Arabidopsis thaliana: one gene and its partner. The protein of the gene in region 2 interacts with the protein of the main gene of each other region in a pairwise test. Each region holds a gene or a part of one and is shown on either strand. Other genes may lie near its edges.

Region 1 (3,760 bases), on a different chromosome or scaffold from region 2:
AAACAAAACTATTTGTTATGCAACAAAGAAGAAGAGGCAAAAGATTGACGGTTATTCATCAAAGTCTAGTTTCTGAACTCGAATATTCACTATTAATAGTTGGTAATCCATTTTCATTAGATGAATGTATAAATAAAGAATCCATAGCTTTAAAGTAATATAAAAAAAAAGAAACCTAGCTAGGGCTACAGCCTACAAGATAAGATTGAAAGGGAAAAAAGAAAAGAGACCTAGTGCAGTTAAAAGTCATTTTCGAAACTTATAAAATATTTTCCTGATAAGAATTATGCTATAGGAGATTAATTACACGATTAGGGTCGTTGATTGAAGCTAATTTTAACTGCTTCACCTCGCCGCATCAATTTAGAGACACCTAAGAGAAATTAAATCAGACATTCTTCTGCATGTGCCTTCACACGTGCCTGTAGTCCTCACTTCAATTTTCTCACCTGAAGAATCTTTTGATATTTTCTCTGTTTTCTTTTTTGTTCGGACCACAATTGTCACATTAATCCCACGAAAAAACATGTACTGGAACAGTACAATTTTTTCATCATTTAATCACCTTTTTTTTTTGGTGAATTTTTAAAATAATCAAGATATTTTCATTGAAGTCTCAGATAGTTATTTGTTTTTTCATTCTCAATTCCATAAATCACAAATTTCACATTCAAAGTCTCAGAAATTTACATTTTATCCCTCATCATGACCTAGATATGGCACAAAACTTACAAAAAAAAAAAAAACGAATTAACGATGCAAAAGGCAAAAGCTAAGATTTTTTAAATACATCATTGATCAGAACAACTCCTAATAATTCAATCCCAATTCCAATTTTTTCCAATATTACTCATCATCAAGTAGAGTTATGATCCAACCCGAATACCCGACGCAACCGGGTCAGATGCTGCAAACAGTTCTTCAGAACTGTTCACAATAAGACGATCCTCTGTTTTTCTCTTCCCTTCCTCTGGTTTTGTCAATGTGTCTCACCGTTACTTTCACTACTCCGCGGCACCACCTGATCACTTCCCTCCACGTCATCATCTTCATCGTCATCATCGTCACAAGTACACGTTTTTACCGACGGCGTTGCTAAGTAAGTAGGTTTGACATTTCCGGCCATAATCACCAAGAACTTCTCCGGCAAAGCTACAGGCTTCACCGCCGTTTTGTCAGGTTTCACATCTCCGACTTCAAGATCTCTCTCTCTGCTCTGGTTTTCCTCGCCGTCTAGATAACCGGAGAGACGCCAGTAAGAGCAAGCGAGGATTAGAAGAGCAAAAGCTATGAGACCAAGCATCGCTGCTAAACCACCAAAGAGATAAGGAACCGGTGAATGCCACGGTGAGTGAGGTCCTCCTCCCATGGTGGTTCTGTTTCCTTCAACGTTTTCTCTCGGAGGGTAATATTGTCTTCCTTCCATTTTTTTTTCACAAAGATGGTTTTGAGTTTTGAGTTTTTTTTTTTTTTAGGAAAATGTTTTGGTGTGAGGAGGAAGATGAGTGAGGAAGGGTTTTATAGAAGAGAAGAAGCGAATTAACGTTGTGGATTGTGTGTGACGTATCAATTTTTAATTTTATTATTTTGCGTATGAGATTCTTTTTACTTCTGATTTATGGAAATTTTTCTTATTTATTTATGTATTTGTATGTAATGAGTGAGTTGGAGAAAAAAGCAATATGAATTCAGTTTTTATGTTTCTCAGTTATCATGAATGATTATATGGAGTCGTGACGTGAGTGCATAACTTATGTTATGTCTTATTTTTGCCGTTTGCTAAAGTAATCGAGATGGTGTGTACAAAAGGATTAACCACTGAATATATATATAATTTGTAAATGAAAAAATAAACATTTAACAAGTTTTCCTATGATTTCCAAACATATTTTTAAGAGAAAATTCTTAATTCAATGGTAAACTTTTTTTTTTGGCTGTTGAGATTTACCATACTCATTTTTTTTTGTCCGTTTTGAGTCGCTTACCAACATAAAAGATAACTAACATATCTACTTTTTTCTTTCTAGAGTAATGTGTGTATGTGTTTTACTTAGAAGTTTACATAAATAATCGACGTTCACATTCACAGCAATAGCATTTTAAAAATGATTGGTAACATTTATAATCTCAGCAAGGTTAAGGGTTTATATATTTCAAAAATTGAAACTACATGCTTTACAGAGGAATGTTATGTATAGTTAGCAAGCCGTGTAATGATGAGCTTCTGTTGGTTTAGGTGCCGGTGATTAGTTGGGACCCAATTAATGTGGTCTGTTTCTTAATCAGTATTCCTTACTACTTTTTAAGCTTAATCAGTGGATAATTTCAAAAAATATCTTCGATTCTATCATACTCCAAGGAATTATAATATTAGTAATCATTTATTGTAACACTTAAACACTGTTTTAGATAATTAACAACCATTCACATAGTGTCGAATCCACTCGAATAAAATATAGTATGACTTTACAGAAAATATCTGCTGAGTGGTTATACTCTCTACTAGTACAGCGTAAGATCAACATCTACTTGGCTAATAATTATTTTTCTAATTTACAGTGGAAAAGTGAGACATGAAAACATAAGAGTCATGAAAATGATGAATTTTTTAACTAGAACAAAAAAACCAATGATTGATGGCTAATAGATAAAGAAACACTCTGAAGAAGAAAGAGGGTTTAAAAGAGGCAATTAAAAGGGGAATAAGATAAGGACAAGAGACTGACCAAAAACGGTTCCGTTAAAGCCGCTAAAATTTAGGTGAGCGATGCAAACGTGAAGAGATAGCCGGAAACGTAATAACCGTTAACGCCAAACAAGTAAAGTGAACGTTACCTAAAACAACTAAAATTACATGTTTGTTTAAATCTTCTTACTTCGAGTTCCACTATACATATTTATAACCAACTTTATTGTATCTCCAACATATTGATATATATGCAAGATATGCATGATTGTTAAAGAGCAAATGAATTCGTATGAGACCTTGAAACTCGGCAAAGCAAGAACAACAAGACTCACACTCGCTCTCAATAATTTTTCATGCTGTATTCATATACATAATTAATTAACTACTATATATAGACAATTTTTTCACATATATACAGCATAAAAAATAATTATGATAGGTATATATATATATATATATATATATATATGTTATCATATTTCATCGTGAACTGTGAACACATAAATATAAATGAAAAAACAGACGGTAGCCCACCACCACCATAAATTGCTTTTAACAAGTGACTATTGATTTTATCATATATAAAAAAATCCACTATGCACCAAAATCATCATTCTAACAAGAACATACCAAATTTTACGTTTTTAAAATATTTTAATGATATATTAGAGGAGTACAGAAAATTTTATATATCATCAAAAAGGAAAGTGGGAAACCCCAATGAAAAAAAGCTGGAAACAACATACCAAACCATATGCCTGAGGTCTCAATTATCTCATCAATGATAATTTTAAAAATTATAGATGAGATAACAAAAATGGTCCCATGTTTTTGCACAGTCTATTTGGATCAAAGTTTATTTGGTCAAGTTCCTATCATTTGCTTTTTCTCGATTAGTCAAACACATTGAGAAAACGATTAGAACAATTGAAAACAACTCACACTTTATGATGTTAAAATTTTGTTTCAATAGTTTGTTTTACTAGTTAAAAAGAGAGTGTCCGAACTTTTAGACAACTCGTTTTAAGAGATCAGAGTATAACTTATTCGCGACAAAACATTTTAGTTCGA
Region 2 (3,760 bases):
TTTCACTTACCATATGTCGACATGGAAGAACAGTGGTGTCTCGTGGTTCAGACAAACATATAACACATTCTTTACCAGGATCATTAGCATCATCAGCTGAATCATCATCCCCCTCAACTGTATTCCCAATCCCATAAATCTCCTGCAACTCATATCTCGTTCCATTAACCCATAGTATCTGCTTCACCACTCTAATCTTAATCTCTCCTTTATCCTTCTCATAAACCGCTTGAGTAATCTGCGCATTCTTCGACCCCGACCTTTCTTCTTCTTCATTCTCACCACCTGAGGGAGCTGCTTCTGCCTTAACCGCTAATGGATAGATCTCTGTGTCTGCGGCCGCTTTGAACAGCTCAACGTCCTCAAAGACCGAAAAGTCTATACCAGAACCAGATGATTGTTTAAACTTCTGACCAAGTCCTTTCTCGAAATCTAGAGTGATAGGTGGCAGTATATCTTCCTTTGTCGCTGTGAGTTTGCAATCTTCGGATTCTTTAGCAAAGAAAATGACACTAATCCTATTTTTCACAAGTCCAACATAATAACATAAGCTTAATTCAATTACACATGAAGAAGATTTGATCAAATTGCAATAAGAAGATCCAAATTACATAGTCACGAGGAAGAACACAACAAAATTCACGTGTTATCTGCTCAAATGGATCACGAAATCAACGAAAGGGAGAAAGTGAAATCTACCTTCCGGAGACGGTTGCATCAAACGTAAAGGAGACGAGAAAGCGACCCGGATTATCCGGGTCGGGTTCAAGCCTAAGAGACTCCTTCTTGAGATTAACGTCGTTACGAATCGTGACGGCTTTCTGGTGTTCAACGTAAGGAGTCGGTTGAGCCATCATGTGACCAGCATAAGGGTATCTGGCCATCGCCACGGGAGCCCAAGAGTGGTTGTGGTAAGGATGCGGTGGATGATGTTGGAGGTGGTGGTCGTACGGCGGAAGAGGCATGGCTCCCGGGGGAGGATGGTGGTAGTAAGAAGCAGGGTACTGGTAAACCGGATTAGGATTAGGATTAGGATAGGGAGTAACGGCAGCGAAAACGATGGGATTAGCTTGGATTTCTGTAGGTAGAGGTGGTGGAGGAAGAGAAGAAGAAGGAGGAGGAGGAGGTGGTGGTGGAGCCGCCGTATGGTTTCGCCGTCGACGGCGTCTACCTTCACCACCGCTGCTGCTAATGTTTCCCATATGTTATTGGCGTTAAACCCAGATCAAAAAGACAAGATTTTTTGGTGACCCAAATGATCAAATCTCAGAAAATTGCTAAATTTGTGGGTGGATCGGAGATTCTGGGGATTAATATTGAGTGAAATGTAAGGAATTACGAAAAGCAAAAGCAGAGAGAGTTTAGATGAATTAAGAAAGAAAGAAAATAAAAAGAGAGAGAGAGAGATAAGAGAGAATAATTTAGGAGAAGAAAGTGGGTAATGATATGATGAATGGGGTCAGGTTGGCCAAGAAGCTCCACCCATGAACATAAAACACCTCCCACCCTCCTTCGATGGTGTTTATGTTCCCAAAAAGCTTTCTTTTTTTTTTCTTTGGACTTTTTTTCTCCTTGTTATTAATAATTACGTTGATTATAAGGAGTTTTGTCTTTTCAAAAAACAAAATTCAACACGAGTACTTAAAAGAGTTGAGGTGTGTTATATGACGACAAAAATATAGAAAGAAAGATGTTATCTTTTTAATTAGAAACACATTCCCATTAATTATTAGAGCATCTCCATTTGAAGTATCTCAATAAGATACCCAATAAAAAAAAAAAATAATTAAAGAAGAAAAAGTATGATAGAAGGAAAAAAAAGTAGAAGAGAAGGAGAGTTGAATTTCTCTTCCGAGAAACTTTGAGAAACTATTCTCATCCAATTTGGACAAGTGTCATCATACTATTAATTCAATTATTAAATAATAATTAATGTATCTGTTTTAATTAAAATATTATTTTTATTTTTTTTTAGAATCTTTCCTTGTTTTTACTGATAAAGATGGTCTTAAGATTTTTATTTAGGTCTACATTAGGATTAATTTGTTCATGCTTTAAAAAGATGATGTTATTTTCAGAAACCATTAATTGAGAAATCCAAATATTTTACAGAGTGAAGAAGTTGTCGATCATTGCATAGTTCTGTCTTCTGTGTGATTAAAGAGTTAAAAGTCACTTGTGCTGTCCGAAATGTATACTAGGCAATAGGCATTGTCTACTTTCCGCTTCTAGACTTATATTGCCTAAATATCTACTAGTAATTAGTGTGAAGTTTAATATGTATTCCTAACAAAGTAGGCTATACTTTATTTTTATTTTTAACCTATAATAAACCTACTTTTTGCCAACATAATATTCTTATATACAGTAGTCCGAAAAGATGAACTGGTATTTTGGAATTCATATTTAAACTTGTTTTGTCGTCTTTGAATAATTGTGTATAAGTTTAACCCAAAACACAAAACAAAACTGATGTATACTTTAATGTCTTAAAAATTAGTGTTTCTACAAAAGCATAAGCTCCGTTGACCAAAAAGAAAACATAAGCCCTAAAAGAGTTTTTATATTTTCAAAACCCTAAGCTAATTTTTTAAAAAATTTGTATGAATTTAGAGTCAAGAGATCACCATTAGCTAAAAAAAACGTCACAAAGAATAAAAATATATAAACATTCTTTCAAAGGAAGATATATATATATATATATATATATATTCAGTAGCCAGATTAAACTGTAACTATTGGATGTTTGATATTACGTGAAATTATATTACATGTTGATTTTGATCAAAATCAAATTATATTCGTGATCATATACAGATAGATATCATATTGAAACATTCCCATACGAAGGTAGTGGTGCGATTCGAAATCAAAAATAAATAAAGAGACATAATAGAATCGCATACCTAACCACTCGCACACACTTTCATTAAGCAATTCCAAAAGACGAACATATATAAACTAAGAAAAATAAATGGGAATCAATTATAAAATACTCTATATATAGTGGGAAACGGCAGACCGGATATATCATCAAGTTGGATACATATGTTGTGTAAAATCTGTAAAATCAATTGTATCAATTTATAGTTATGTAGACCTATGATCGTGACATATATATATATATAAAAACTAAACTTTGTTCTCTGTTGAATGTTGATGCATCTTTGTTATAATTTACAGGATAACAAATATGACGTCGAACGTAGCATCTTCTTGGAACACTAATGTAATATACATATGTCAAAGATTTTCTTAGGTTTGAGTCACTATGATTGAAATAGATCGAGCTCAGGTGTTTCTAAGAAGATATTTCGTTAATTAGTGAGTATGCTTAGACCCTTACATTATCTTTATGATACTAGCCGATAATTTATCTGAAGTCCGCATATCAGCAACGTGTCACGTACTATCTACGAATCCATCTAAAGCCAAATACTTTCATTAACTTCATTTTGTCGTTTCCTCAGAGGTGATGTTACCCTAACAAGATTTGTATTTGAGTGGAACAAATATATATATGTTAGATCTAATTGTGTGGTTCGTAATGAGGAATGATGTATCAATGAGGAATTTCGTACATGTGTACTTTGTGTAAGATCCCAAAAAGAGAGATCGTTTCCAATTTTGAAACAAAAGCTGTTTTATGACTAAGAAAAGCTCTATATTGTCAAAAGAATTACTAGTAGGTTATTTTCATATTTGTTTCCTTTAATACTATTACAGAGCAGTAAATGTCATGTGAATTATGTAGTCTGAC

The links. The genes of interacting proteins can lie anywhere in the genome.
Region 1: the proteins of LOG2 (region 2) and GDU3 interact in a two-hybrid assay, tested with the Arabidopsis thaliana proteins (2 studies listed by BioGRID).

Annotation. Positions count from the first base shown.
Region 1 is NC_003076.8:23,365,377-23,369,136, forward strand, and holds GDU3 (glutamine dumper 3), read right to left. Parts: upstream 1,688-3,760; 5' UTR 1,427-1,687; coding exon 980-1,426; 3' UTR 429-979; downstream 1-428. UniProt on the Arabidopsis thaliana protein: Probable subunit of an amino acid transporter involved in the regulation of the amino acid metabolism. Stimulates amino acid export by activating nonselective amino acid facilitators.
Region 2 is NC_003074.8:2,996,634-3,000,393, forward strand, and holds the start of LOG2 (RING/U-box superfamily protein), read right to left. Parts: upstream 1,623-3,760; 5' UTR 1,203-1,622; coding exon 700-1,202; intron 519-699; coding exon 11-518; coding exon of another isoform or gene 1-10. UniProt on the Arabidopsis thaliana protein: Acts as an E3 ubiquitin-protein ligase, or as part of E3 complex, which accepts ubiquitin from specific E2 ubiquitin-conjugating enzymes and then transfers it to substrates (in vitro).